Linked DNA regions of Drosophila melanogaster. The protein of the gene in region 1 interacts with the protein of each later gene in a pairwise test. Each region holds a gene or a part of one and is shown in the gene's direction. Other genes may lie near its edges.

Region 1 (8,364 bases):
TTATGAAAAGCCCATAATTTCGCAGCCACCCCGAGAGTTGTGCTCCGGTTTCTCTAGTTGCCGGCGCGTATAATAAAAATAATAAACGTTGTCCTCTGAAAATCGATGGCAAACAGAATTCGCATTCATTTCATGGATGGTGGGCGGGGTGAATGTGATTCGAGTGGACTGGGTTTCGTGGGCGTGGCGGGGACATGGTCGTGGCAGCAGCTGATATCGACAGTTAACTTGGCTGGAATGCTTTTTCTATATCGTCTCTCGCATCGAGTGTCGTGTATAAATGTTTGCGCTTTATTATATTGCCCGGCCACGCCCCCTCCCCCCAACCAGACAGCCAACCCAACCACTCAACCACCCATTTGTGCCCCAACCATCTTGCAGCATCTTGTGACATTTTACCTTTTTTTCGCAGCTGCAGACGATACACGATAATGATATCCATATAATGATGCGACTGTCAGCGGCATTCGATTCGATACCAAATACTCGCCCCAAATATCCATGAAGTTGTTTATTCGAACTGGAGTGGCATGTGGCAGCGCTGACAGAAGGAAGTCTTTGAATTTGGCCAACTGGATTTATCTGCAAGGCTATTTCGCCAGATTGGATGAAGTGAGTTCGAAAAGAAAGCGAGTTCAGTTGTCAGATGCTTCAGGATTAGATGAAGCAGTTGAAAAGATGAGTAATAAGTATGTACAATACAATCATTTTGTGTCCTCGTCTGTTTGTGAAGTGTGTTATCATTTCCCAAAGTAAGTTGGATCTATCTATTCGCTGCCTTTGATCTTTACAGCTGGAATAATATATTTTTTATATATTTTTCTATATTTAACTTATTCTTTGATTTCTTTGATTTCAATCCCAAATGTACCTCCATAATAAATCCAATCAATCCACATTCATCATATATTGCGTTATGAGTGCGAACAATAAGCCCACAATGCCCGGCCAAAAAGCCAAACGTTAGCAGCCCAATAATCCCCACTTCAGACCGACCAACATCATTTACATATTTCCAATTCGGCAAACAAATTAAAAAAATAAAAACGGAAATAAACTCACACCATGGCAACACTCCGAAAAACAATTAAAAGTTTGTCTTCAACACCTTCCACCGCGCGGAAAATGAAAAATGGGGGCAAGGATATATACATATATATTATTGGGGGGGGCTTCCGACAAAAGCCTGTTTCGGTGACCCCTTTCATTTGTCAAAAAGCAGCAGTGACAATGCCAGATGGATCCAAATCCAGAATCTCGAAAGCCGGAGGAAGCTGCACATTCAGCCCACTTATCAAATAATTGTCCTCATATTATGGCGACTACAAAGAGAGATGGAGATAGCGGCTAGGAGAGAGAGAGAGAGAGAGAGAGCGGAGCCGGGGAAATAGTAGAAAATGGAAAATACTCAGCTTCAGCTTCAGCTTCAGTGTCGGTGGCAAATAAAAATGTAAGGACTCTTGAGCGCACACAGACACACACACCACGGGCGGAATCCTTTGCATAAATGATGATGGTATGATGAGAACTTTTAATCATTATTATCACATATTTATACGCTTATATGAGCATGTTTTATGTACTCGCTGCCAGCAGAAGCGGTGGGTGAAGTGGAAATCCTGACGTCCTGGCTGCACGGATACGGGGTAATCCTTTGAGGCGTGCTCCATATGAAAGCAAAAAGCCACAAATGGCAGCGCAAAACAATCTGAGCTGGGGCCTTTGTTATCCTTGTACTTCTTCCTATTGTCGAGGGCACTTCTCCTCCTTTCAGCTCCTTTCAGCATTCTGATGGGAATCGCATTCGAGTGAGGCCACGCCCCTTCGGCGGGCAGGACTCCTTGGGACCCCAGCGCCTGGCACACAGGGGTTGCTCCGTGCTCTCGCCCTCTCTCTCTTTCTGCTCGCACACAATAGAGGCCAAAAGGACACACACATCCTTGCCGCATTCTGCTGTTTATCTAGCTCCTAAGCTTACATAACCGCTGCTCAGCCATTTTCGCATTTACCACGCTTTCGACGCTGAGTAAATAAGTCATCATTGTCGATAAACTCGATTGTCGTCATCAACGGCGACGAGGACAACTAATTTGCGGTCATAATAAAAGTTAATCTACTGACTCCTTGGCCGCTTGTCGGAATTTTTTTTGCTTCCCATGTCTGCAACAAATTGCTCGCACAAATTCAAAAGTCTATGGATGTAGAAGTCCAGTTCAAATAATGTAACTAAATGCCATTACTCTATATCATCAAACTTTGTACATTATTGGGAAAAGTTATTTGTTGAAAGGATCCTTTACGTTAATCAAACATGTGAAACATATTTTCTTTGCCTATGTAATGCTTAGCTTAAACCAGTTGAGAATTATAATAGAAATTGTAGTATAAAAACAAAATAAAATATTTTGTTTCCAGTATAAAATTACATATTTTATATTATAATTAAATGTAAATTAAATGTATTCTAACAATGCGCCCCACTGTGCGGCACCGTGGAATGGCAGCTCAAATTTAATAAGATCGAGCCAAATTCAGTTCAAGGCAGCAAGTGGCAAAGGCAACAAAACAAGAAAATTAAATTTTTATTGTTTTCACGCAAATAAAATCAAATAAAAAGCGAACAACAATAACGAGCAGGCAAAGGCTAAACAGGACACTCACGCACGCACACACACACACTTACGCACGCATACGCTCTCGCAAGGAGAGCGAAACAGAGAGAGGAAGAGAGAGAGAGAGCAGGATGTACATAAGGACTAAGCATCACGTGCCGCACAGACGGCACTTCTACTGGGCAGGAGAAGCGGACCAACCAACGACGAGCAACCCCGTAATCGCACTCCTGGGCACCCGGATGCTGCGTCCTGCGCCTGCCAGGACATTCTGCCAACCGAGTTCAGTTCGAATTGAGCACTCGACGCGAACGCGACAACTGGCGGATACAGACGAGAACTGAATCGGTACGTGTACGGATACTAGAGACTACGGAAATATAGAGCAGCCAGCTCCGTCGCGTTATGTCTACGGCCTTCCTCGTGGACAGTCTCCTGCACGCCCAGCAGACCTACACGGAAAGCCAGCTGAAGTCCAGCCTGAGCGAGATGCTCCTATCGCGTCGGTCGGCCACGGGAACGGATGCCGCGGATCCGGCTGACCAGCCCACCGAGTCCTGTGGCTGCTCCAAGTTGCGCGGCTACAAGTGTGATAAGTGCCGCGAAATCCGTGCCGAGAGTGTAGAAAGCATCGAGGAGATGGACGAGGACGATGGTTCCTCCTCGGCGGACGAAATAGTCGCCGATATTGGCAGTGTCGAGGGCGAGGAGCCGCACATGGACCTGGACGAGGAGCTGGAAGAGGAGCTGGCCGACGTGGACGAGCCCGTGTCAATCAAATTGCCCAAGGTGGAGCCCAAGGAGACCAGCATGCCGACCGTCGGCAACACCATCCTCAAGGATACCAACAGCAAGCCCATTCTCAAGTTCAGTGTCAGCGCGATCCTTGGCGACACCCGGGAAGGAGTCCGTGTCAGAAATGGTAAGACATGGTTGGCAACTAGCAATTTTAGCTTAGTAGTATGCCTTGAGGTGCTGATGATCTTTGCTTCTCTTTCAATGTTGTTTTCACTGGAACCCCTAAGATTAAATTTTGTAATTACCTTGGGCCCCTCCAATTCTGAAGTCGATGAGATAGTTTCCTCCAATTAGGTTTACGCCGCGGGCTGCTTCAAAGAATGTTATAAAAAGGCTTGGCAATTAATTTGTCGTGGCTAATGCCGAATAAAAACAAAATACCGAACACAATTGCAATATGAAAAGCCAAAAGAATAACAAATCTGGCCCAAAAGTTTACGCAGACTCCTCGCGAGGGTAGAACGCAAAGTACTGGTACTTCGCAGTTGCTTTAGTTTTTACGCCGCGACTTTATTGTGTGTTGGCCTAAGTCCTCGGGGCGTTTCACCGCTGATCCTGCAGGCTGTAAAAACACAGCCAGGCCTAATCATGTTTAAATTATTGAGCCAAGCCCCTGAGCACAAAGCCGCATAACCAGTTCGTCCCATCCACATCCGCACTTCCGCACTTCCGCCAGGATCTGCATGGGATATGGTGCGAAGGATCTGCATGGGATATGGTGCGAAGGATCCTCTGCCGCGTGCTGCTTACAACGGGGGATGAGAATGAGAATGGGAATCCCTATGCCAGATAGGACATGGAAAAGGTCCTGGGGGCGGGGGACAGAAGGTAGGCGTAACCAATTGGCCATCAGTCAATGTAACAGCTCTGCCTTGGCCGTTTTTTAGTTGTATTGTTCTCTTGTATTTCTGGGGATTGTGGGATTTAATTGTCATGTGATTATGGCATCGCGGCTTACTTTCCATATTAATGAGTGGGCAGGACCTTTCGATTTCCCGTATTTTATCACTATTTTTTATGAGATTTTATTGGCGATATTTTGGGGTTAAATCGTACTGTTTTTTATGATCAAAGCGTGGCAAAAAATTTAGAAATGGTACGAAATATGACTATTATTAGGTATTATATTAGAACCAGAATAGCATAAGTAACTTTTAATGTCTTAATAACGCAGCCATTAGGTATCCCCTCCACACACACACACACTTTCTAACTTATTCTGTCCATTAATCTCCTCCGCATATTCCAACTAATTGCCATCACATTTCAATCAATAATCCACTTAGCACATTTTCCCCTCGAAATGTGAACGGCTTTTTGCCCAAGAGTATGCCACAAATGAACTTTTTTGCAGGGCCATAAACCAATAAGTCGAAAAACTTGCCACATTTTGGGAGCACAGATGCAGATACAGAAAAGTCGGTAAACCGCCGACGAACAAAACAAACAAAAGCGAACAATTATAACTTAATTTGTGCGCTCATTAGGCACACATGTGCCACACACACACACACACACACATTCCTACACTCCTACACACACAAGGACAATCAAGGATGCCATATGGAAATGGAAATTTTCGGTGCTCCGCAGAGCAAAATGCCGTTGGCCACAGGAGTCAAAAGCATCGGATTGAACGCGCACACAATGTCGAAACTAAAGAGGCGTTAATTCGTTAATTGTTTCAGTTCTCTAATCGAATTAAAATCATATCCTGGATATCCTGCAGCCACTGCCAGCCTGTCAGGCTGAGCGGGGGCGGGGCAAATCAAAATGGGGAGAAGCCGCCATGGCGGCTGCCTTTTTGGGGTGTTTAATTAGAAAATGAAATGCAGCCACGCAGGGGTCCAAGGGCGAGATTCCATCCCCCGATATCCTTCCCATACAAATGGGGATGCAGCATATCCTTCAAAGGCGCCAAACTTTGCTCTCAAGGTGCGAGCTCCTGTGTCTGTCTGTCTGCCTGTCTGTCTCTATGTCTGTGTGTGCGTAAAGTCCTTTATCCCGGGGATCTTGTGTTTGCTTTAATTATGCCAACTTCACACTGACACTTCAAAGCAGATTTCATTTCCCATTGTCTGCGCCGGCGTGTGTGTGAGTGTGTGTGTGTGGTGATGGGGGGTGGCATTCGGGGGCCATGGCGCCTGTCTGGAAATTCGCAAGACAGCACATAACGCGCTTCAACGACTCCTTGAGAATGAGCCAAGTCTCGGGGCACGATAACGACTTTGGCAGATTGTTTTCAAGGCTGACAATCTGACACTTCAAAGTGGTTTTAAGCACAGAAGACTGAGAATTAATTAGCATACAACCAATGTTAAGTTGAAGGGATACATCAAGTTACTATAATTTCCTTTATTAAGTTTGATTAAATGCTAATCTCTAGTTTTTCCAAGTGCCTCCATTTTGGACAGCGCTTTAGTGACTCACTCGCCACTAATGGTGCCGCCACTTCTTCTCCACAGAGTTCATGCAACCGCAGCATATATGGCCTTATCTGCAGCAAAACTTCATGCAGCAGCACTCGCATCAATATCAGCAACACCATCAGCAGCAGCAGCCGCATTCCCACCCGCAACACCAGCCGCTGGCAGTGCCAGGACATCAGCACTCGCATCCGCATTCGCATCACCATCATCATCACCATCCGGGGGCGGGGCACGCCCACTTTCCGCATCCCGCATTTCTAACGCATCAACTGCCGCCGCATCAGCATCACCAGCAGCAGCAGCATGTACAGCAGCAACATCCCGGCAATAGTTGTCAACCGCAAACCGCATCCTCGTCGTCGTCACCTGGCAGCACAATTAGTGATAGCGACAACAATCACGGCGCATCGACTGCCAATGGCAATGGCAGTGGCACTGGCAATTCTGGCCAGGATGCTCGACCGCACGAGCTGGCGAATTCAAATCCCGACGAGGATAGCAGCGCCAGTCGAAGATTAACGCAAGACAAGCAACAGCAGCAGCAGTTGCTGGGCGCCGGAGGAACAGGAGGAGGAGGTGGTGGTGGCCATGGCCATGGACACCCGACGCCGCCGCCACCGCCTCCTCCGCCGGTGATTGCCAAGCCCATGCCCAGCCGCCCCACGCCCTTCCTGCCGCACACCCTCAACCACCCGCACCTTCACTCGTTGCTGGCGCACTGTCGCAATCCCTACATGAGTGGTAAGATATTCCAAAAGGATTGCTATTAAAATTATTTTATACATATAAAATGGATTTCTTCAAAAATATAGTAAATATATCCTTAGAATAATCTAATAGATTCAATTTCTCAAATTCAAGAGTTAATTTCCAAGTGTAATGCCCCTAATGGTCGAATATATCAAATGTCACATCCCCAACCAGAGTCCACAGCCACCCGCTGTGCCCATTAACAAGTGTTTTGGTCTAATGCATTTCCTCTTTCCTCTTCCCCTCCCTCCATCGGCAACAATTGCAGTTGGCGCCCAAGTGTTCCCCCTGCCTCCTGGCCAGGGATTCCCCTGGGCCCATTCGACGCGTGGCAAGCCTCGCCGTGGAATGATGCGGCGTGCCGTCTTCTCAGGTGCGTAGTTGGGGCATCCATTCCCGAAGGGGTTCATCTAATGGTCGCCCTCATTGCAGATTCCCAGAGGAAGGGGCTGGAGAAGCGGTTCCAGCAGCAGAAGTACATCAGCAAGCCGGACCGCAAGAAACTGGCCGAGAGACTGGGATTGAAGGATTCTCAGGTGAGACGAGTTATATGTTCATAATGGCTGATATTACACAGCTATGGAGCAATGAATCATGTGGTTAATCACGCCGAATTTCGTTTATATAACCCAAGTGATTGGGGATTATACAACTGGGGGCATAGCTCAGGGGTAGAGCGTTCGACTGCAGATCGACAGGTCCCTGGTTCAAATCCGGGTGCCCCCTACTCACATTTTTGGTTTTCATTTATTTTGTTGATATAAGCTACAATAATAAGGCTATAAAGTAATTATTTTAAATTATCTTTTGTTTATACAAGTCTCAGTATTTGCTTAAATTCATTTCCAGCATTTGTTATTCCTCCATTCGTATGATTATTGCATCATTCTTTTAAGATATTTGCAAAACGATGTTTCCCCATTTCACTCAAAGGTATAGTTTAACATTATTGCACCGATGAAAGTGCCTAAAAGAGTGCAAGGTTTTAAATTACTTATTCATTTTGTATAGATTCTCAAAATCGCACAATATATGTACCCAATTTCCATGAAAGAACATAGAAGTAAATCCTTTCGCTGCATTTTATAAGCTCTTTGTTCTGAAGTTATATAATTACTAGCTTGTTGACCAAATTAATTTATTGCGTCTAGTTTGCCGACGTTTTTGCTCCACACATGTGCTCTAATTTCCCTAAACTTTCCCGCCCAACAACACTGAATTAGCATTTCAAAACCCATTTGGCCAGGCAAAAACTTTACCCACTAAACTCAGTAAATTTCTTGTAAGCCATTCATTCATAAGCAAAACAAAAATCAATGAGCGTAATGAGCGCAGAATTATGCCATTATAAATTATATTTAACCGCTTACGAAAATTTCGTGTTGCCAACTTTTCGAATCAGCTTTAATAAGCAGACAACAAAGGCAGTTCGCATAGTATAAAGTGGCCAAAACCACTTCGCTTCACTTCGAACAAAAAGCGAACAGAGTGGGGAAAACTCCGCCCTGGAAGTTCGGCGGCAATGGCTGCGCACGGGAAAATGGCAGAAAAGCGGAAGAGCGGAAAATGAGAGGGGGTCAGTGCTCCTTGAAATGCGCAGTCGCCTTCTTATGTATATATATATATATATATATATATATATATACTATAATATACAGCCGATATATAGCCGAGGTCGAGGTGGCAGTATAATGAAATTATAACGAGCTGTAAGAAATTCATGTCGCCTGAGACGTCGGCCAGTTTTCATTGATTGCGCTGCGCACTTTTTTTCC
Region 2 (8,172 bases), on another chromosome or scaffold:
TGAATATAACTCCGCCTGTTTCCATTTGCGGTATACAAACATTTGTCGATAAATCCAAATCTTGTGCATCCGATGCCCGACATTGGGCGCCAATTATGTCAATAAGGGATAATAGGGATAAACTTCAGTCTTTTGCGGGATTACTTCCCCTGCTCTCTCACATTTGGAAAAGAATATCTATCTCTCCGGACTTTACACGTAGCTTGAAGATTTTTGCACTACACACACACACGAACACCGATCTACCACAAATAACCACAGAGTGCAACCTTAAAAAATAAGGATCGTGAATAGTAAAGAAACACATACGTTTCTTTGATAATTTCGCAAATTTATTGTTTTGTATAAATCTATTTTGTTTCCTTTCATTAGACGGCTTTTATCTTTAAGGTCTCCCTCCATGAAGGAGCAGTAATAAACTTTATTTCGGTTCATACTGCATGTCACGTAGCCTGCGATAATCGCATAGTTTTAGCCACCCACAATCCATATATTTTATGGTGTATATACTCGTATCTAGTTTGTAAGCCGTGTGTGCATGCAAGTTTCAGAGGACGAATTCCAATCGACAATAACGCGTCCATGTCGTGTCGTATTTTAGACGTATTTAGTTCTTTTTAAGCAGTATTCAACGACAGATTTTTGTTGTTTGATACTCTAGGTTAATGTTAAAGGGTCGTCGTGTACGAGTGGAGTCTGCATTTCGTTTGAATCGGCATAAATCCAATAAGTGTGTTGGAAAGATGCATTTTAGATGAGTTCCCGATTAAAGCGAGCAGCAGTGAATCCACTTTTGCAGGACTTCAAGGTGTCGCACCATCTGCCAGTTGACGGCTGGCGGAGATTGTAAATCCTCTCCACTAATCACAATATTCCCTATCATTCTTTGCCCATCTCGTTTGTTCACAGGATATGATACTCTACCAATAGATTCGATGCAGGGTCTGGAGATCAGCAGCCCAGTGGGCGGCGGCGGTGCTGGCGGTGCTCCCGGCAATGGTGGAGCTGTAGGCGGAGCTAGCGGCGGCGGTGGTAACATCGGCGCCATTCCGCCTAGCGGCGCACCAACTTCGCCCTATTCCATGGACATGGACGTTGGCGAGATTGATGCCGGTGCATTGAACTTTGACTTGGACGCCATGCCGACGCCACCCAATGACAACAACAACCTGGCTGCCTGGTACGATACCGATTGTTAGACAAGCCGAGCTAAGGGTAAGGGTCGAGTATCCATTCGACCCCATAACATAAAACACACGAATTCCCATCCCTGCACAATAGCCCTCTTCCACCGGCTTTGATTCCATCCCGGATCCCGGAATCGCGATCACCGAAACTTGACTAGATCAACGAAGGTGTGGATTTTACTTGACAAATACGAGGAGCTGCGGCAGGTCAAAGTTCTGCTTCCAGAACTGAAGTCCGTGGGAGAAGGCTATTTGCTCACACACCATACCCCGCGACAAAGCATACACACACGCATACATGCATAATATTATACATTTATTATAATGCGAACGAAACGGCAAGAAAAACATATTATATGATGCATTACATATTACCCACGTAAACGAAATGGAAAATTAAACAAATGTTTGCAATAGAACTCGTACATTTCCCTTCATATGGCGTTTTTCTTATTTGCTCCACAATTGGGTGCCGCAGAGTCACGGCTTGGAACAACGAGCCCTAAGTTCGAAGTTCGAACCTACTTTAAGATATTTCCAGTTTTCAAAAGTACTTGAAACAGTTTCGTAACAGATTAACGAAGGATGGCTTTATTAATTGAAGCTATACATCTACAGGTGCTTGCCGAACCACTTGTGGTCCACGGGCGAGAGCCAACGGTGGCAGCCGCTGAGGTTGTTCTGGATCACGTACTTCATGGTAAAGGGGTTCTCATTCTGGCGGGTCTGTTCCTCCTCGGCGACGCGCTGTTCGTCGAGCATCTCCTGGGAAACGACGGTGGCCTGGAAGGGCAGCTGGTTGGCCACCTGCTGCAGGAACTGCTTGACCTCAACGAACTCGCACTTGCCGGCTATCTCGACAATGACGCGACCGGCCTTGATGGGGGTCACGTAGTGGTCGATGGCTCCCTTTCCGCCGCCCATCCGTTGGCCCTGGCCCTTCTTAGTGATCGGCTGCCAGGGTGCGGGAACGCGCCATGTGGCGAACATAGTGTTGACGTTCATCTTGCGTCCGATGGTCAAACGCATCATTTCGTAGTGGCCCCAGCGCAGGCGCCCTCCGCCAGTGGCCACGATTGCGTACTGCTTATGGAGCAGCGTGTTGTGCACCATCTCCGGACCGCGCATGTATCGCAGGCGCTTCTGCATCTTTGGCGGACGGATGTTTGGCGGCAGCTGGGGCTGGCGCTCAATGACCCTCAGCTTGGGTCTCTCCGGCTGCTCCACATCTGGGGGTTCCCACATTCATTCATTTATTGCTCTAAATTCATTGTGCACATTTAAATGCAACTACTTACTCTGGTATTTAATAGGCGGAGCGAAATACTTAAGACCGGCTGTGTTGACAATTGCCATGTTGCCCGCTGCAAAGAAAAGTTTAAGTGGTTTGTTGCAAACTGTTATCGGATTGGATGTGGCTAGGCAGGAAGCGCCACTGCAACTTACACGCAAGGCTTTGCTTAAAGAGCTGGGAGACTAACTTTAATGAGAGCATGGTGAGTTTATGTCAAAATATATTACTTATTTATAAAATTGTATTGTGCAAAGATGTGTTGCATCAACGGCCACCGTTGCCAGATCGAGCTAATAAATGTGGTGCTAAAAACATATATCGATAGACCACCGATTGGTCGAGTGAGCTGACGGCCCTGTCCAGACTATGGTTTATTCTTGCAGTTGAAAATGTGCCATATTGCACGTGGAACACAATAATTATGTTATGTATTAAAAACTTCTGAAGTTAACGAAAAATGATTGCTGTACAAACGTTATTCGATTGCAACCGCCATGGCGATATGTTGAAATGGGATGGGAAAAGTGGTGGGTTTCTGAGTGGAAAACCAGGGATGGGTAAGAACGTTTCAGGGTAATGGTCGTTTTACCATCTGGTAACACTGCTCTGCATACACGAAAATAAAATTTTTTTGACTAATCGTGCATGTTTTCGCTCGGTAAAAAAAAAAGCAGGCCGCGCGAGCCCTAGCTAGCTAGACCGCCGCCCTTCCCGTCCCACGAAACGCAGCGCATCGCATCCGGCGTTCCGCGTTTCCACTTGTGTGTTTGTTATGAATATACCGAAGGTGACAACATCGCTTGGTGCCGCCGAAAAGGCGAAACCCGAAAGAGTAGCATCCGTGGCCGCCGCTGCCTTCAATGCGGTCAGCCTGCAGAAGCGCAGCGGCGACGACACCGCCACTCCGGCGGAGGATCCCACGCGCAAGAAGGCCAAGACGGAGCTGCTTCTCGGAACTGGAACGGCAGCGCCCAGTTTGCCCGCCAAAGCGTCGAGCACCGCGCCGCAGCAGCTCCTCTACCAGCGGAGTGGACAGCAGGCTAAGGCGCAGGTAAAAGCTGCGTCGGAGCCGCAGGATGTCGAGACGGCGGACGGCGTCTGGGACGCCCGCGATCAGCAGATCATAGTGTGCAACTTCGGCTCCGGCACTGAGATGGGTGCCATCAAGGCGGAGGACGCTGACAAGCAGAGTGAGTACAGAATCAGCACTCCAAGGAACAGTCAATCTAACCCTTTGCTACACCGAAACACAGCCTTTACCAGCTTTACCAAAAAGGAGGGTGCCTCATCGTCGGCCTCGTCATCATCGTCAACCGCGTCCGTCATTTCCATCGAGCCCAGTGGCTCGGGGCAGGATCATGCTGAAAACTCCGGCAAATCTGAGGACCTCGACTACGTACTGATGCCAGCCAGCGGCGCGGATAGCTCTACATCTGTGGGTAACTCCACCGGAACGGGAACACCAGCAGGAACGCCTATTGGAGCTACTACCTCCACCATTATTTTAAACGCTAACAACGGAACGGCAGGAGTCAGTGGAGCCGGCACCACTACAATCCTCACACAGAAATCCGGTCACACGAACTACAACATCTTCAATACCACGGCCACTGGTAGCCAAACGCCCACTACAACATTGTTAAACCGGGTGAATCTTCACCCCAAGATGAAAACCCAGCTGATGGTTAACGCCAAGAAGCTGTCGGAAGTAACGCAGACCACGGCGAAAGTGTCGATTGGCAACAAGACTATATCGGTGCCGCTGCTCAAGCCGCTGATGAGCGCTAGTGGAGCGGCCACAGCCGGAGGAGCCACGATTGTAGAGAGCAAGCAACTGCTGCAGCCGGGCGGTCAGGTGACTACCGTAATGAGTGCTGCGCAGCAAAGCGGTGGTCAGCAGGTCCACCCGCACGTCCATTCTCATGCACATCACAACTTTACCAAACTTATCAAACGCGGGCCAAAAAATAGCGGCACCATTGTCTCGTTTTCGGGGCTACAGATCAAGCCGGCGAACACCAAAATTGTGGCCACCAAGGTGGTGAGCAAAAAGATGCTGCAACTTCAGCAGCACCAACAACAGATCCAACAGCAGCAGCAGCTTCAGCAGCTGCAGGTGACCAGTGGTGGAGGCCTGGCTCCGCCCACAGGCAGCATAGTGACTATCACCACCACCAACCCCAGCCAAACGTACGCAATGGTTCAGGATTCCGCAACTGTGGGACCTGCGGCCCATTCGGAAGACGATGCGCCAGCGCCTCGAAAGATTACAGCCTACTCGGAGAACCTTCAAAAAATTCTCAACAAGAGCAAGTCCCAGGAATCGACTGGAGGCCCGGAGGAGTTCACCAACATCAACAGCGTGGTGATTAAGCCGCTCGACAAGAATACACTCAATTGTCCACCCAGCTTTAACATCTTTAAGCAGCAGCAGCACTCACAGGCTGCTCAAAGCCAATCAATCTCCGCGGTAGGCAGTGGAGCAGGCACACCCGTGACGTTTACCATGGCTTCGGGGAATGCCTCAGATCTGGCCACCACCTCCACCGTTTCCGTTTCGGCGGGGACCATCTGCATAAACAGTCCGATGATGGGCACGCGGCCAATAATCTCCATTCAGAACAAGAACATATCCCTGGTGCTGTCCAAGACGACCATGGCCCAGCAAAAACCGAAGATGATAACTACAACCACGTTGTCCAGTCAGGCGGCGCTGCAGATGCATCATGCTTTGATTCAGGATTCTAGTGCAGACAAGGCGGGATCTTCTGCAAACTCCGGATCAGCTACCTCGGGAGCTTCAATGCAGCTGAAACTAACGACCGCCAATACGCCCACCAAACTCAGCGTTAGTCTGGCTCCGGACGTAGTCAAGCTGGAAGAAGTTGGCAGCGAATCTAAAGCAAAGCTACTGGTCAAACAGGAGGCGGTTGTGAAGGATAGCACTGGTACTCCGACCAGTGAGGAGCGGGCTGAGGAGATCGGCACGCCGGAGAAGCGTTTGAACGCCAATGCCACAATGACGGCTATTAACCAGGTTCAAAATCAGTCCGCCAATCAAATTCAAATGGCCACATCTACCTCAACTGCCTCGAATCCCAGCACACCCAATCCTACAGTGAACGCCACACCTATGAACAACCAACGCTCGGCAGCGGAGGATAATGCACTTCTAAAGCAACTGCTCCAAAACAACAGCAGCAGTCATAGCCTCAACCAGATAAGCATCACTTCGGCTCACGTTGGTTCCGCCTCAGCTTCGGCACCTCTTTCCGCCCGCAAGGTTATCAACGTACGGGCGCCCAGCATGGGGAAGGTCAGAAGTTTGGAGGATCAACTGGCACGTCCGGTGATTCCTCCGGTGCCCACTGCCACGCAGGCGGCAGGTAGTAGTAGTAGCAGTGGATCTGTGGCCACGTCCACCACCACCACAACAGTAGCTAGCGGAGGAAGCAGCCAACAGGTAGCCACCGCCTCAGCGACGGCTCTACCTGTTAGTGCGGTCGCAATTACCACACCAGGAGTGGGAGGGGAGGCAAAGCTGGAGCAGAAATCCGATCAGCCAGCAGCAATTATGCAGAATCAGAGCCAAAACCAGGCGCCTCCACCACCACCGCCACCACAGCAGCAGCAGCAGCAGCAACTACACCAGCCGCAGCAGCTGCAACCGTCACCCCACCAAGTCAAGCAGACTGTGCAGATTGTGTCGAAGGAGACGTCGTTCATCTCAGGACCCGTTGCTGCTAAAACACTAGTGACGGAAGCCACTTCGAAGCCGGCTGAACTACTACCTCCTCCGCCTTACGAAATGGCCACTGCTCCTATATCGAACGTCACCATATCCATATCCACCAAACAAGCGGCTCCGAAGGAACTGCAGATGAAGCCCAAGGCGGTAGCTATGTCACTACCCATGGAGCAGGGCGACGAATCGCTGCCAGAGCAAGCGGAGCCGCCGCTTCATTCGGAACAGGGAGCTACTGCAGCGGGAGTTGCACCTCACTCCGGAGGTCCCCTTGTGTCTGCGCAATGGACCAATAACCATTTAGAAGGAGGTGTAGCCACCACAAAGATACCGTTCAAGCCTGGAGAGCCTCAAAAACGCAAGCTCCCCATGCACCCACAACTGGACGAAAAGCAGATCCAGCAACAGGCAGAGATTCCCATAAGCACCTCCCTACCAACAACTCCGACTGGACAAGGTACTCCCGACAAAGTACAGCTGATCTCAGCGATTGCCACTTATGTAAAGAAATCCGGTGTCCCGAACGAGGCACAACCCATCCAGAACCAGAGCCAGGGCCAGGTGCAGATGCAGGCGCAAATGCAGGCGACTATGCAAGGACACCTGTCTGGGCAGATGTCCGGACAAATCTCCGGACATGCCGCTGGACAGATACCCGCTCAAATGCATTTGCAAGTACAGCATCAGCTCCATATGGCAGTTCATCCACAGCAGCAGCAGCAGCAACTGCACCAGAACCAACCACAGAATGCGACGATTCCCCTTCCAGTTACTGGACAGGGTGCAGTGCCCATCCCCGTGCCCACCATGGAGAGCAAGGCAGGCGACCAAAGGAAGCGCCGCAAACGTGAGGTCCAGAAGCCGAGGCGCACAAATCTGAACGCCGGACAAGCGGGTGGAGCTCTTAAGGATCTAACAGGTCCACTACCGGCAGGTGCAATGGTCCAACTGGCAGGAATGCCGCCGGGGACCCAGTACATACAAGGCGCGGCATCAGGGACTGGTCATGTGATCACCAGTACCGGACAAGGAGTTACTTTGGGAGGAGTGGGCGCCAGTACTGGAGCCAGTTCCTCGCCCATGCTCAAGAAGCGGGTTCGCAAGTTCTCCAAGGTAGAAGAGGATCACGATGCATTTACCGAGAAGTTGCTGACGCACATCCGCCAAATGCAGCCGCTTCAAGTTCTGGAGCCGCATCTCAATCGCAACTTTCACTTTCTTATCGGGAGCAACGAGACTTCTGGAGGTGGTTCGCCCGCCTCAATGAGTTCTGCGGCTTCTGCCGGATCATCATCGGCTGGAGGAGGAAAGCTGAAGGGCGGATCTCGAGGCTGGCCACTGAGCAGGCATTTGGAAGGTCTGGAGGACTGTGATGGCACCGTTCTCGGCCGCTATGGTCGAGTGAATCTGCCAGGGATACCCTCGTTGTACGATAGCGAACGCTTTGGCGGAAGTAGAGGTCTAGTTGGTGGATCTGCACGAACCCGTTCACCCTCGCCAGCAGAGTCTCCGGGAGCAGAAAAGATGCTACCAATGTCTAGCATCCAAAATGATTTTTATGACCAGGAGTTCTCCACGCATATGGAGCGCAATCCTAGGGAACGCCTGGTGCGGCACATTGGAGCCGTCAAGGATTGCAATTTGGAGACCGTAGACCTGGTGGAGAGCGAGGGCGTAGCTGCGTGGGCGACTCTTCCACGACTTACCCGCTATCCGGGTCTAATACTGCTCAATGGAAACAGCCGTTGCCATGGACGGATGTCGCCGGTCGCACTGCCGGAGGATCCGCTGACCATGCGCTTTCCCGTGTCTCCACTGCTTCGATCCTGCGGCGAAGAGCTGCGCAAGACACAGCAGATGGAGCTGGGAATGGGACCGCTGGGCAATAATAATAATAACAATTACCAGCAGAAGAACCAGAATGTGATACTCGCACTGCCCGCCTC
Region 3 (7,732 bases), about 18 Mb from region 1:
TCGTTAGTTGGTAATACTTTTTGCCGCTGTTGGGGATCGAATACCACTTGTATCGGCCAATGAAAGGTTGTCGAAGACTGATGGTGGAGTTTTCCCATTGCCTGGTTTTTATAGGTCTACGATTCGAACTTGGCCATCGAGATCGTAAATTGAATGTAGATAAGCCCAGCTATTCTCAGGAATTATAGACAGTGAAACATTGTTCCATTTTTTATTTATTCCACCAGATAGACGCTGAACATCTTTTCGGGGTGTTATTTAACCGATTTTAATTAAAGTATAGTTGTATTAACCACTAAGTAGCTCTTTATCTGTCATTATTTCTATCTGTTCCGCAACTTAATAATAAAAAAAAAAAAAAAAAACAAACAACTGACGCAGCCACATCCTTATCAATGGTGTAGGTCTACCTTGGAAAGTAAAACATCGTGTAGTTAAGCCTAGTGTTGTACAATAACTGAAAAGTGGGGTTTTCATTCGATAGTGTTGTAAGATTAATCAAATCAAGGTCTTTTAATCGGGATAATGTTGTGCAATAGAAAACGACCCTTTCTTAAAAATAATATAATATTTTACCCTAATTAATGCTATTCATTTAAATAAGAACTTTTTCTAGCAAATGGTTTAAATTTGTTATATGTATAATGTATGTATATTATGTAACTTTAACAGCTACACCTTAAATTGAATGGACTCTTATCGCTTTTGTATGGCGTTGACGCTGCCCAGTAAAACTTGTTTGGCGATGAAAAACTTTTCGCTCAGGCAATCTTTAATTTCGGCTTTATTGCCCTGCCATATGGGGTCAATAAAGTGTTGATGGTATTTCCTTGGATCTTCTGTACGTCGATGGAAATTTTCCTTTATTCTTGTCGCATTTGGTGACAGTTTTTTGGGCATTTTAGCTCTTTTATTTGCCGATTTCCTATCCGAATTAAGAATATATATCCTTTTTAGAACACTTTACTTCATATACCCTATTACTGTGCGAATAACTTGGGTGGATACTTTTAATTGAGTTGCCAAACTTGATTTGTATTTATTATTTTTGGCATAAATGCTATTTAAATTATTTTTTGTCTGAACTTGTTCCAGTAGAGGTTGTGGATGAAGTTCCAGAGGAAGTCGAGCCGGAGGAAGTCGAGCCCGAGGAAGTCGAGCCAGAGGAAGTCGAGCCCGAGGAAGTCGAGCCAGAGGAAGTCGAGCCGGAGGAAGTTGACCCAGAGGAAGTCGATCCGGAGGAAGTCGAGCCCGAGGAAGTCGAACCAGAGGAAGACGTCGAAGTTCCATCGCTTTGCGTGGGATTGCAGCAGAGGAACTTGGGCTCCAACCCGTTTACGCAGGATCCGAGGTTCTCGTTGAAGTAGTAGTTGGTGGGGCAGCTCTCCACGGCCTTCTGAACGCCGTTCACGCAGTATAGGTAATCAGAGCAATTGGTTGCCGAGTAGGCGTTTACAAAGGTCGCAGTGGTGCCCACACATCTGTCGCAGTCGTTCCTCGCTTCCATCCTGGTCACACACGCCTTCGAGATGGTATCATAGTAGTATCCCGAGGGGCAGGTCATCAGCTGATAGTTGCCGGCGGAGCACAGGTAGTACTGGTTGCACGCGGTGGCTGCGATCGTTGCTCCCGACGAGGAGCATGTGGTCGGAGCAGACACTCCGGTCAGGGATGGATCATTGGTGACCTGGGCGCAGGATGAGGCCATCTTGTAGCCGCAGTTGCTGGCCTGCACATTGAATACTAGACCATCTTCGCAGGATCCCGAGTGCAGAACGTTGTCCTGGCAGAAGTTCCAGCCACTGCAGTCGGAAGGGCTTCCAAAGTAAAAGCCATTCTTGACAAGATTGCATAGGTTGAGGGCGACCGACACAGTGGAGCCATCACCGGCGGACTCGCTGCATGGATAGTTGTTCTTGTACACACAGGCCATTGTGGTGGGATTGAAGTTCTCGCCGGCAGGACAATTGCCCCTCACAGCGCCGGAGGCTCCGCAGTAGTAGTAGCCGCCGCAGGACGAACTGGATGCCGCGAAGGATCCCACCGCCTTGCCCAGACAGGGATCGGAGTTGCTGGTGCAGGTGCTCGGCACAGTGCCCGTGCACTGCTGGGCATTCTTGTCGAAGTAGTAGCCCTGGGGACAGGACATGGCCGTGAACGAGGATCCCTGGCACTGGTAGTAGGTCGAGCAGTCCGACTGGCTGGCCACGTAGTTCCCATTGCTGACCAGCAGGCACAAGGCGGTGACATTCACATCGGCTATTGCTGGAGCGGCACAGGCGATCACCAGCGCCACGGCAGCGAGGATGGTTGCTTTTTGTCCACCTGGAAGCGTTGAATATATTCATATGATGTTCCAATTTTTCCTGTTTCGAACTTTTATATGCGATACCCACCCATTATTTGCTTCTTCTTTTGGTGGCTCCTAGTTGAATACTGTTTCTGGTTGATGGACTTCCTGGGCTTTTATTTGCAGTCCAGCCAGGAGTTATCTTCGATCCGCTGGGCTGTCCAAGTTGATCGACGACCCTTCAGCTCAGGAACCCATTTTGTGATGTATCGCAAGCGAAGCCAACGAACCATTTTTGCATGATCGATGGCCATTTTGACAAGTCAACAAAGTTTTTGTGGGGATAAGAACTTTCCCAGAACTCAGACGGATAGAAATTTGGGTTCTTTTTATTAACTCAAATGTATTTTTTAGACTGCGTTTCTATAATTGGAATATTAAAAAGTTAATGTGTAAATAAAAGAGCAATAAAGAATTACATCGTGCTCTAAACTTATAACAGAGTTCGCATTTTAAAGCTAACGACTTTATAATTGTTATAATTGTTTAACCAAATGTATATACTTGATTAAATTTGAATGAGTTTTTTACCGAATTATATAATTCAAGTAGTACCATATCAAGAAGTTCTCCAAATATGGTCCTTTCTATTTTTTTTTTCAAACAAATCAATTAAACGAAATGAGATTAGAGTAATCTAAATTAGCTTAAAATTACCTACATATTATATGGCAAAACCCACACACTTTGTTTTTAATAATATTGACTAATTGTGGCGATTCCTAGACATATTTGTTACTATCGGAACAGAAAAGTTGGACTTATGTGGTAAAGCCCAATTGACTTTAAAAAAACAAGTAAGCTAGTGTAGTTCCTCGACTTTAAGATACTCAGTACTCATTTGAAGGGAGTTCAAGGACACTAGATTTTTTATATGTGGTTTACTTGTTGTAGCATACCTATACACCAAGTAATTTTCACATCAATCTTCTATATTCTTATACAATAGTATCTTTCCTTTCAACGAACACTCTGTACACTCATTTACTCTACGACTATCAGGTACAATTAAAACCGACGATCGGCAGATTATTTCATAAAGTTAGTTTAATCGTAAATAATTTCACAATAATGTATAATTTTAAACAGTAATCTCAATAAGTATGTATGTCAGTAAGAATCGGTCATCGTGGACTATTAATAGCATAATGTCGTGTGCACCTGAGTCAGCAGATCGCAGGCGATAAACATAATAACATTTGATTTTGAAATAAAGTTAATTACTATATGTGTAATAAATTAAATTAGACCCAATCTAAAGATAGTAATTATAAACAAGCGGATACGAATTCGACAACGAATACTACCAAAAAACCAAAGGTATGACCGCACAAGTTGACAAAAATAAAAACAAATTGGGTTTTAAATGAACTGCGCACCGGCGTTGGCCAAGTTTATCACTTGTCAAATTTGGATTTAACCGAATCTGATAAAAGTGAAATATGAATACGTCATGCGTCCATTTTAGCCACTGAAGACAGTTCTAGACTAACTTAGAGCTTCCAAAATTTACAGACCTTTCGGAAAACCCAAAAGTAGCGAGGGCATAAGCATTGTCTTTCGATTTGTATTTATTGGCGAACTTGGATGGCATCCAGTTAGACGTTCTTTTCCTCGTTAGCCGTTAAGAGGTACTTGTATCTTTGGAATACTAAAAGTTTGCTGAACTCGAGATGGGTGAGTATCTCTGGCACTAGCAGATATCCATCGAAGTAACTATATTGTTGTTTCGAGAAGAATTACCATTTCATAGACAGATATAAATATAGAAAACCGTAGACTTAGGCTCAAGAAGTTCATAACGAAAACTCAAACATTTATTGAAAAAAAAATATGCAATTTAAATCGAAATTGAAAGCATACTTCACTTGCAACTTATTTCGAATATCGTACTTATACCCTTTTATGCAAAACAGACACAAAGCTCGCCTTCATTTCCGGACTCATCATGATCCCCACGATATCAGGCGCCCTGACCTTCAATGCAACTCTAATATGTAGCTTGGTGGTCAACGGAACCAAGATGAACGATCCTCGGGCGTGCAACGCGTGGATTCAGTGCATCGATGGGAGCCCTGTGAGTGGTAGCTGTGCGACTGGACTCTTCTACGACCGGGAGAGCCAGAAATGCCTGAGTTCCAGTAGTATCAAGTGTCTGTCCAGTGATCCGTGCGCTGCTCTGCCCACCGGATTCGCGGCTGATCCGTACTCCTGCAATGGTTATTACTATTGCAAGGATGGCAAGGGGACGCACGGAGTGTGCAACACTGGGATGAATTTCAATTCGGGAACGCAGGACTGCATCCGCGATTTTCCGTGCTCGAATAAAATGGACCCGGATAGCTATTGCAACATCTTGCCGGATGGGGTCTTCGTCAAGGACACGGACAACTGCAATGGCTATCAGTTGTGCTGGGATGGCCAGGTGATCAATGGAACCTGTCCGGGCACCTTCTACTTCAAGGCCTCCACGGCCCAGTGCGATTATCCGCAGAATGTGGAGTGTGACTTCGTCCCAGTGCCAGATATTAGCAAGAAGGGTGTATGTCCAGAGACGGGTGGATTTATATCGGATAACAAGACCTGCAATGGCTACTACTACTGCAAGGATTTGGGCAATGGAGAGTTCTCGCTGGAGCATGGCGTCTGCTCCGATGGAAGATTTTTCCTGGCCACCGATGGCGGAGCCTGTGTCCCGCGATCCAAGGTGAAATGCGGCTACGATCGATGCGTGGGCTTGGGCAATTCCACCATTCAGCTGGCCAACGAGTCGGATGATGGCTGCAGGGGCTACTCGATCTGCCAGGATGGCATCGTCATTGGCCAAGGAACTTGTCCGCAGGACGAGTACTTCGACGAAATAACCCAACGGTGCACCACCCAGGTCATATCATATACCGCCTGTCAGATATCGGAGGCAACCACCGGGTCCCAAGTTCCAAGTGGCACCACCACCACCACCAGCAGCACCATCACTAGCACCACCATTGCGGTCCCGGTGTCGTGAGCAGCTCCTCATAAGTATAAGTAGTGCTGTTATCAGGCCCAAGTCCCATACAAATTATAGATCAGCTCTTTGTTTAGATTTCGTGGAATTGATCACAATACAAACATCTGAATTTTCAAATGTATTTAGGTATAAAAAGATTATTTCGAAAAGCTTAGTTGTACGATTAAAAGTTGACTCATTTGTGAACCATCCGAGCCATAATATAATCTTATCCCGCCTGCCAGAAAACGTCGGCTGATGAATGGCACTATCAGCAATATTTTGGTCTCGTGAGCGACGTACGCAATCAGTTTTAATTAGACAGTTTGTTTTTTCGACGCCGATACAATAAATATAAGTGGTGTAATCAGGCGCAATAACGATTAAGTTACCAGATCACCTCTGGGCCAAGATTTCCTTGAATCGATTGCCGAGCAAGACACTCGGTAACGTGAAACCGTGATGTCATACTCAAGAACACCACTTGGAAATTTGGCGATGGGAAAGTACCAGGGAGGTAGCCATTGGATCCCATTCATGGCCCATACATGGGTGATATCACCGTTTTTAACAACTGCAATAGGAGATTTGAATGGAAAAGTACGAAGTTATCGTACTACAAAGTTGATTATTCAAACCACTTTATTCATTAGGCACCATATATGTACATGTACATATGTCTATGAGGTGTCATAACAAGATAACTTATATTATTGAGTTTTTCGGAATTTGTTATCGTTATTTGTTATGATCAATAAATACTAATACATTATAGCGAGGCTGCAAAGTTGCCCCGTTTGTCATTTGAATACTTGACCTTTCCTACATACAAATCAATCATCCGCCCTGTGGACTTGTATAACTTCCTTCTTAAAGTGGACATAATTGATTTCTATGGAGAACGAAAGCGCGTCGATGCATTTCATTTGCATTTCACACTCATACAATATTTGTGGACCTAATGGGTAACATCGACCCTAATAGTTGAATTTAATTAGTGATAGACAAAAACGACCCTTGGGCGTTGGATACTTCTTGCTCGCCTGATGGCCAACACGGAAATAAGCGATCGCGGCAGCTCCGAGTAGCGAATTCATTATCTGGACTATCTGGAATCGGTTTGAAATTCTCCGAACCCTCCACTGGGGTACAATTTTAATTAAAACTGATAATTTTTTGGGCACTGCAAGTGTCACGAAAACAGATTGCCAAATATGAATCGTTGTGTGGCGCAGTTTTGATATCAAAAGGGTTGCCAGAAGAATTTTATCACGCCAACTTCGTTTCGCTAATGAACATTTCCGCCAATGTAGTTCAAAAATCAGTCCAAAAAATCATAGTATTTCTCTAGCATTATTTATACCAATTCATATTTTATTGTTCAAGGTTAGGGTAACATCTTCTATAAAGAGGAAGCAGACGGTAAAATTCGAATGGAAAGGGAATAAAACTACAATAGAGCCAAATGCAATGGATAAACTATATATATATACATTTCAGGTTTCAATGGAGTAACACATTTATTGGACATTTTTCGAGAAGCTAATATTTGTAGACCCATTTCCATGGTAAAAAGTAAATGGATGAATGTCATAAAACTTAACACTTCCCACCACAAAGTACATGAATTCCTTTCAAGCAATGCATTTGACCTCCACCATGAATTGGATCGATTTATTGGATATTTAAATTGGATGCGATTTGGTAAGGATTGTGGTAAGGATGCGATCTTCTGGGACAGCCTACACGGAACATGCGATGTTGTGGTAGTTGGTCTGTGTGCATCCCTGGTTGCGCTCGTCGAAGTAGTAGCCCGTTGGGCACTGGCCCAGGCTGACGGTCACTCCGCCGGAGCAACGTCCATAGCTCTGGCAATCGCCGGCGACGTTTACGTAGGTGATGTTGGTGCCCACACACCTGTCCAGCTGGCAGCGTACGTTAAGTCTGTCGCGGCACGAGAGCTTCTCGAAGTCGAAGTACTGGCCAAGTGGACAGCTCAGGTGCTTGGGCTCCGTGTCGTGCTTGCCGGCGACGGGGCTGCCACAGATATAGTAGTGGGAGCAGGACTCGTCGTCGGCAAAGTAGCCAACGCGAGCGGATCCGGTGGCACTGTCCAGGCAGAAGGTGTTTTCCGGTTCCGGCAGGGCGGCACTCTCGTAGCAGGACACCTCAGCCACATCCACGCAGTAGCCGAGATTAGCATCGTAGGCACTGGCCACTGGACAGGCTCGGCTGTGCAAGACCTCGCTGACGCACTCGTAGTACTGGTCACAGTGGACGGGATCGGCCAGACGGGTGTTGTTCGGCAGGGATCGGCAGGCGGGACTGGTCTTCTTCGTCTGGCTGATGGGGCAACGGTACTGCTTTTCGTACACGCAAGACCTCGATACGGG
Region 4 (8,284 bases), 500 kb from region 1:
TCCTTTTTCTCGGCATCACCGCATCACACATTGCTCTAAGCCTATCCATGAGCGCTGTCACCATGGTCTCCGCGTGTCCAATTATGGACTCCATGCCCTCGATCTGGTATGCTAGCATGTCTTCATCCAGTTTCCTAATGTCCCATACCGGACCTAGCGCACATCTTCGCTGTTTGGGTGACGGCCTCATTGTTCGGGCACCGAACGTGATTAGGTTGTGGTCGCTCAGCGTTATGTCCTCATGGACCATCCAGTTCGAGCCAGCCACTAGAACTCTGCTAACAAAAGTGACATCAATGAAAGATGTACCTCTGTCATTATTGAACGTCGGTTTGAACCCGTCGTTTAGCAATACGAGATCTAGCAGGTTCATGGCATCGATCACTGCTCGTCCTCTTGTGTTAGAGATTCGACTGCCCCATTCTGTAGCCCAGGCATTGAGGTCACCTCCGATGACTGTTGGTCTGCGCCCACTTGCATGGTTAACCAGCTTTTCGAGCATGTCCTCGAATTGCTCGGGACTGTCGCTAGGTGGAGCATAGCAGCTGTAGAAGTGGATTCCTCTAATTTTGGCGTATGCTATGCCGCGCATTGGTACGGTATCCCACTCCTCTACCAATAACCTGGATGTACATTTAATGGCCGCCTTGCCTGTCTCATCGAGTAGCACTCCTGAGTTACCCACACCAGGTAGGTATGGTTCACTCAAAAGCACTACGTCCGCATGGCGCTCCTTCGCTGTTTGAGTCAGGAGGTTCTGTGCTGCTGCGCAATGGTTAACGTTGAGCTGGATGATGTTAATTTCTTCTGGCATCATTTTGACGGCTATTAGCTCCTTTGGTGTTGGCTTTGTAGGTGGGGCATGCAAAACCACCCGTCGCGTGGTTCTTGTCCACGTCACTGCTGCAGATCAGGCATCTTGGTGGGGCTACGCAGCCCTTTGCCTTATGCCCATGCTCGCCGCACCGTAGGCAGCAGTCAGAGCGATCGACTGACTTGCAGTAGGGAGCTCGGTGGCCGAATTCGAGGCATCTGAAGCATCTTATTGGGCGGACGTCTTGGGCTATGCGGCAACGCGACCATCCCACAGTTACAACGCCCCGGTTGATGACCGCAATGGCATCGTTCGCGCACATTAGCACAGAGGCTATCTGGGTCCCGTCACGCCTCCTGCGAAGGCCTCTTACATCCTCTGGTTCCAGGCGGATGCCCTGAAATTGGGAGACCAGGGAATTGTGAAGGTCCTGAGCCGTCGTTGTCTCGTCTAGTCCGCTGCAGATTAGCGCAGTCCTATGCGCGCCCGTGCGAACCGAAGCAATCTCTTTGAGCGTCGCTTCTAGCTCATTTTTAAAGCTGGGGATGACCTCCGAGGCTTTACCTTCTAATTCAAGAAGTAGTTCTCCCTGTTGCGTCCTCCTTATTTTACGCACGTGCTTGCCGAATTCGGTCAGACTCGGTTCTGCTTTCATCTTCCGGAGCATATCCGAGTACGTAACCTCACCCGTTTTTTTCAGGATTAGCGCCTCAGGTTTTTTGCGCAGGCGCTTGGGCTTCACCTTAGCCCATTCCTCGTCCTTGTTAGCGTCCTTGGCGACAGACGCATAACTTTCCGGTTTGGAGTCAGCCGTCGTGGGTAACGCCTTCCCGGTGGATTTCGCGGCAGATCGATGGTTGTCCGTTTTGCGGACCTGCACATTCGGTAATGCCTGTCTGGGTGGCGCCACCTGGCTACGCTTTGTCTTTTCTGCCTCAGTCTGTGTGGCAGTACTCCTTGGTGGGGGCTTCTTGTTGATACCCTCCTGTAACTCAATCGCTCTCTTATTGAGCGCCGATAGGTCCACTAGCACGCCCCTATCCTCGCTGGTTACGTGACGCCTAGTCTCGAACGAGGATAGAATGGCGGTGATCTTGGCTTTCATCATGTCCAGGATGCCCTGCAGGTCCTCATTCTGGAGCGTCGTGGTCAGTTCTGGCGAGCGATGCGGCGATCCTGATGGGGACTTCGCTCCCGCCCTTTGGGCCGGCACGCTGATGAAATCCATTGTCTTCAGGCTTGTGGCTGTCGTGGAGACTGTAGTGGCCAGAGTCTCCACCTCCACAGCTGCACTGCAGTCGCTAGCTTTCGGCGGCGGGGGGCCTGCTTGCTCACCTCCCCCTCCCTGGATTTGGGTTCCGACTCCTCTTATAGGGGATCTCGATAGCCTACCACTCCTCCTAAACGGGTCGTTGGGGTCGGGGGCACTGCCCCCCCCTGTTCTGTCCATCAGATATAAAAGGGGGACTTTGGCTTGTTGGTCCCCAGCGCTCCGTGGGAAATAGAACTAGCTTCAGTTCTTAGGTTATATTTCAAATTTTTGTTCAACTTAATTAGTTCAAATTTGAATTTGAATTCGAATTTCGCGCCCAACGAGCGCGCGGCCGAATGACGATCGCACCGCTGATCTGGCAACGCCAGTCTAACCAGCTCGTCGACTGCGAAAGGTTGGCAATGCTATCAGCTGTATTGTCTGATGCAGCTGATCTGATTTATTACCAGTTTACTGGATCACTCGTGAATTCCGGAACGACACCGTGACGCTCAGAAACGCGGCGCAAACCCCAGAGTGGATTTGCAGGTTTATGTTGCAGTTTACGGCTGACCGGACTCGTATATGACGAAATTCGCGCAGCGCAGCAAAAAGACGTGCGAAATACGCGGGACAATGGATGTGTGTGTGTGTGTGTGTGTGTCTATGTGGAAGGTAAACACATGTCTACTTTGAGGCACAGCAAAAAAAAAAAAATATATATGCAAGTGTCGATGATTTAAGTACATTTATAAGTAGTACGAGCAAAATACGAAATCTATAGCTAGATTGCTTCTTACAACTAAAATCAAGTTTATATCTCAAGGATGTGATATTGTAAGAGAATAGAATACGATTTTTCCCAGTGTGACTTCATCTTCAGCTTATTCCTACCCATCTTGGAGCTGCTGCCATTCATTAATCCACATAGAAATGCCAATGGCAGAGTGAGATGTTGATGGTGAGCTGGTACAGATGGAGATGGAGATGGTGAGGTGATGGTGACCAAAGCGAATGCAAACGAAGGCGGCTGAGGCGGCACAACAACAAAGCGGCCAAGAGGCCTATTAGCCACAATAAAGAGGCAGCCTCACCCCCTTTCGAAATCCCCAATGCTCATACCCCTGGAAATTCTATTATGCAGATGAATGGATGGATATGGGACTAACCATCCGACTGCCTAACTGACTGGGTGTTTGTGTGTTTGCCCCGCCAGATGCCATTACAATGTAAACCCAACAAAAGTTCATTCGGTGGACTTGATGCGGGCATGGATGCGGAGACGTCTTCATCTCATCCACGTACTTCTTCTCCACATATCCGAGGCAGCAGCACTTCCAGCCACCGCAGCGGAACAATTGATCAAATATCATAATTTATCAAATGACAATGCAACAGGCGGCGGCCTCTGAACGTTTACGTTCCCGTATTTGCTTGCCCCAATCCCCACACCAAAGACACCGATCTCCAATTCCCAAATCCCCCCAATCCATTCGAAAGCTACAACTTAATTTATTTGAACAATTTAGGTCTGACACAACAGCCATCGTTTGGCTCTGTCGTGTTCTTTGCGCTTATTTATTTCGATGGTCAGTCGGCTCGAATCTATTTAGCATAATTGCAGCTACGATCAGAACCGAGACCCGAGTCCCGAGATAAAATAATGCATTCTTGTGTGGGGTCTGTGTGTAATCCTAGATAGGGCCACCAGTGGGTCAGATAACCAAATTAAAACAGGCTAGGGAAAATATTGGGACAAACCGATTATTGTTCTATTATGGTAAACTTAGCCATGGCATTAGTTCCAATCGAAATGGGAAGTGCATTCTTCATCGAAGATTGTGCATTCAAATCAAATTGTGTGTCAAGTTTGCTCACAAATTGGTAGGTTTATGGATGCCAGATAGGTTGACAATACTTTTGTATTGGTTAGTTTATGAGCTTTCTTTTCATGGAATAGCCAAAGAATTCGATACAGTAGTCTGCGACTATATGGTCCATCAGAAATCTGTGTATAGCATCTACAATTTTTGTGTTTTGTCAAAAGTGAAATTTAAAGTGATACGTTTGCTGTCTCCTTACTTCATCAACAACCAAATTGCAATGGACAATTATGAGAGGGCCAGAAAACTGCAGGAGGAGGCGGGAGTTCCTCCTGGGGGAATCAAGCGGTGCTGCTGCAACTGCAGGAGAAAGCTGGATCCCTACCAACTGTTTGACGATAATGTGGAGGATATAGCCAAGAGCCTGGCGCAGATAATGCTGATCTGTGGCATCAGCACAAGCAAATCCAGCGCTGCCAGGTCGATAATTAAGAGGGCTTTCGTTTACCATGAACGACTGCGCACCAATTGTCCACCAAATCCGGCTACTGACAGTCGCTTGAATCGGGAGGACCTGCTCCAGGCTCTGCGACTGAAGTGCGAAATGGAACCGGTGGAGGCGATGCTCACCTATGCCATCATCAAGCGGGCCTTTAAGGCCTTCTATCACGGCAAGCCACCGGTGACGATCAGCAATCCCATAGTGGATGCGATGGCGGTGCACACCCAATATGCTGCTTGGATGCATGCGGCGCACAAGACATCCAGGATCTTCGACAACTACAAGGCGGCCTTCTTTTGGGCCCACAAGCACTACGAGAGGCAGATCAATCTGGTTTATGCAGCGCTGTATCAACGGATGACTACCAGATCGGATCCCCTCCTGGTGCCGGGCTGTCCTTGCAAGGGCTGTTCCAAGCAGGAAGTTCCCGGACATCCCAAGGCCGGCCAAAGGCAAATGATGAAGATCAAGCTGTCGGAGGGTGCAGATCTACCAGAACCCTGCATCATCTGTGGCTTGCAAGTTCCGCAAATGGATAAGGAGGTCAGGATGAAGAAGCCACCGCGTCCGATCATCAACCATGAGGTTAATCTACCCAGATGCCAGCAGTGCAATTCGCCCTTCCTCATCTGCGAATGCAACATCGATCAGTTGACGGGCGAGCAGTTTGGCGAATGCGGCCAAGACTCCTACAAGGTGAAGTGGTATCGTCTGGAGGAACCAGTGGCCATTTCCCAACCTGTTTCCCAACCGCTTGGCGAAGAGGAGCAAGATACCAGCTATGATGAAGCTGTGGAACCCCCAGAGGACTGGGACAATCACCATTGTCCCATCGACTGCAAGCACGACTCCTGCAGCGAGTCCTCGAATGTTTGCCACAGCACTTCTTCATCTGCATCTTCGGGCAGTGATTTTGCCACCTGTTCCGACGGCGTGGACAAAGAGGAGGATGTTGTGGCCAAGCTGGAGGATTATCTCAACAAACTGTGGGCCGAGGAGGTGGCTCAGAAGAGGAATCCATCGTATGTGCCGCGAACGATTCATCCTCCTGGTCCGAAGTGTATGAAGTGCAACGACTAATTTTGTACGTTTAAATTTTGGCTATATAAATTATTGAGTGATGAAAAGAGAGCTATTGTTGACCCTTAATAGCCAGAAACAAGTAGTCTAAGTACAGAACGTGTTTTCTCACCTCTGCTACCAAGTTTGGTTCAACGAGCTGCCACCATGCCACCATGCCACCATCCGGGCCACCCACTCCCACACCTGGGGAATCGATCGCCCACACGGGAGCCGGCGCTTATCACACGCCCACAGATCGCGTCTTGACAATGGCCACTTAAAATGCCATTGCCGGTTGTAATCGCCACTAAATTGCTGGCACCTCGGCTTATTCGCGGCTGGAGGACGGAATGGGACGTGGCATTCGATGGGATGGAGCTACTGTTGTCATCGCCGGCTGCTCCGCCCAGCAGCTCCCAGGAGCTTCCACATAAATCGCTGCCTTTATCTAAGCACTTGCATCTCGCGCTGGAACAGAGGCTCCTCCAAGCTGCACCACCAGGATGGTGCGGATCCGCGGATTCGGGCCTGTTCACGCTCCTCGCCGCTTATCAATCTCAGCTCATCTGCACGCAGAACAGAACAGAACCGAACTAAACCAAACTGCAACTAAATGGGCAAAAAGAACCCAAGTCGAAGAACATCTTCTGCGAAAAATAATTCCGCAACTTGTCACATTTTGTAAGATTCAAAGTCGCAGAGACAGGCACTAAACTGCAGACGCCTCTGCGCCAGGGATTCTGGGATGGGCCTGCAATGAAAGGAGTCCTTGACTGTCGGGATTTAACTATTTTTATAGGGTATTCGTAGATAAAGGGGCATACTCGAATGTTAACAGCTACATAAATATAATAATTATTAATGGCAACATATTGATCTTAATTTTATAGATGGTTTATTATTGGTTTAGATTTAAAACTTTGACTTTTTATCATTATCATTCCTGTAGTCGAATCACCCGTGTTTACCCTACATATTTTTGGCTAGGCCTAGACTTCACCCTCGAATTGCCGCCTGCATCTCCATCTGCCTGTCGCTGTGGCATGTTAAACTGGAGTCACATTTGCATATAGATTTATTTTTATGTCCACTGCCTTCGGATGGCTCGTGAACTATTTATGTGTGACGACGATCCAATCGCTTGGGGGAGCGATCTTTGGATGGATCCGCGATCGGTTCTTGCCCAAGAGTTGTGCCATTAAGCGATGCCCATTAAATGTTTGGAAATATTGGAATATCTCTAGATAATGCCACGTCTTGCCAAATTTCTAATTATGATATGCTCACATTGAGTTTCTCTATTAGCCCAGTTTTGATGCGTCTATGTCTGTCTTCCCATTCCAAAAAATTTTTTTTTTTGCTTCGGCATGTGTGTGGTAAACAAAGCTCTCACACTCAATTGAGTGCCACTTTTCGGCTTCGGATGAAACTTGGAGGCAACTTGGTGGAGGCAGTTCAAGAGACGCACGAAACCATTGAACTTTTCAATAGCCATCAAATTTGCGTCTAATGCGAACTGAGACTCGGAAAGTTTCCCGCCATCGTCTTTCAATTTGTTATATCCCTGCATTCAATGCGCACTGCAGCCACTCGAAGTTCACTTTGATAGTTCGAAAATCATTTGCACTCGGAAAATGCATTTGAAGTTTATATATATGAAAAGATAAAACATAAGTTTATCAGATGCCCAAGGCAAGCATTAGAACTTTACAAAATTTCTTTGTGTGTACATGCGGCATCTATCTGCTGCATTGTTGTGGGCCTGAAGCTTAATGGTCTTTTTATAGCTGCTCTTTTTCAACTTCAATTAATGAAGTGTCGAGTTGTTAACACCAAAACACACGCCCAGCTCCCAGTGGTGCAGCCTACTCCCACCGATACCCAATCCCCATGGACCGACCTCTATTTCCAAACATTTCGCCCAGCCGCGGGATGGGAACAAACTTCGCCGCGGCTGCAGGTGGGGGGGGCAGCCGAAAATGTAAACAAACAAATTAAAACGAGCATCGACACGGCAGCTGCAGACTTGGCCTCAGGTGAGAAAACGGGCACACGGAGCCGGGAGTTGGGAAAGCGATGGTCGAAGGGGGGTGGAAAATGCATTTTCACGGCAGCGCCAAAAGCAAACAATCCAGACGGCAGCCGAAGCGGCCAGAAGCTCTTTAATCCCGAAAACTTTGGTAGCACTTAGCGGTTTACGAGGCTGCCGAGCAGGCCCTCAAAGTATTTAGATATCAAAGTGGTAAAGGTGATAAAAAGCCATCCATTCCATCCGCTGCACTTTTGGCGACACTTTGTCGAGATTGAGTTGTTAAAACTGGATGTGTGATTAAAAGTGAAGCTATGACGCTAATTCAACTTTTAGTGGGTAAAGAGGTAAACCCACTCATGGTCTTTAAAATGTAATCCAAAATCTGGTTGACAATTGATTACATCTGGGGTTCCCATGGATAGGAGAAGCCTCTTAGCCCGAACTTCCTATTTATTGATCAGTTAGTACACTTCTCACATCATCCCATTGTGGTTGAGTTTGCTCCGCCGCTTCACGGTGTCCAGCGTGATCCGAAATCAGTGTGGGAAAACAGTTGGAGCGACGTCAACTGAAGCGCCGCTTCCACCTGAAACGCCGAAATAAATGTGGAGAAGGCCGCCGCCAACGCATCCGAGCAGTTGGAGTCCGTGGCCAAGAGCAGTGAGAAAAATGTTAATGATAAACCTGTTTGTCAATTAAACAAAAAATATTGTAATAGTTGATAACAGAATGGGCAAACACGAAGTGCAGTGAGCGGGTGTGAGAGGATGAGAACTTCCCAGAACCCAGAATGGTATAT

What was found.
Region 2: the proteins of Dbx (region 1) and trr interact in a two-hybrid assay, tested with the Drosophila melanogaster proteins (one large-scale study listed by BioGRID).
Region 3: the proteins of Dbx (region 1) and CG6996 interact in a two-hybrid assay, tested with the Drosophila melanogaster proteins (one large-scale study listed by BioGRID).
Region 4: the proteins of Dbx (region 1) and CG9173 interact in a two-hybrid assay, tested with the Drosophila melanogaster proteins (one large-scale study listed by BioGRID).

The regions. Positions count from the first base shown.
Region 1 is NT_037436.4:1,918,398-1,926,761, forward strand, and holds the start of Dbx (Dbx), read left to right. Parts: upstream 1-2,909; 5' UTR 2,910-3,017; coding exon 3,018-3,534; intron 3,535-5,875; coding exon 5,876-6,580; intron 6,581-6,857; coding exon 6,858-6,962; intron 6,963-7,021; coding exon 7,022-7,125; intron 7,126-7,243; exon of another isoform or gene 7,244-7,315; intron 7,316-8,364.
Region 2 is NC_004354.4:1,884,857-1,893,028, reverse strand, and holds the start of trr (trithorax-related), read left to right. Parts: upstream 1-3,078; 5' UTR 3,079-3,253; coding exon 3,254-8,172. Other genes in the region: arm (armadillo), read left to right, coding at 910-1,199; mRpL16 (mitochondrial ribosomal protein L16), read right to left, coding at 1,800-2,416, 2,486-2,551, 2,634-2,682. UniProt on the Drosophila melanogaster protein: Histone methyltransferase that acts as a coactivator for the ecdysone receptor during development. Specifically trimethylates 'Lys-4' of histone H3, a specific tag for epigenetic transcriptional activation.
Region 3 is NT_037436.4:20,203,602-20,211,333, forward strand, and holds CG6996 (uncharacterized protein), read left to right. Parts: upstream 1-3,932; 5' UTR 3,933-4,023; coding exon 4,024-4,027; intron 4,028-4,264; exon of another isoform or gene 4,265-4,266; coding exon 4,267-5,357; 3' UTR 5,358-5,999; downstream 6,000-7,732. Other genes in the region: CG7298 (uncharacterized protein), read right to left, coding at 1-1; CG7290 (uncharacterized protein), read right to left, coding at 1,070-2,325, 2,397-2,400; CG7017 (uncharacterized protein), read right to left, coding at 7,082-7,732.
Region 4 is NT_037436.4:1,419,248-1,427,531, reverse strand, and holds CG9173 (uncharacterized protein), read left to right. Parts: upstream 1-4,060; 5' UTR 4,061-4,169; coding exon 4,170-5,471; 3' UTR 5,472-6,333; downstream 6,334-8,284.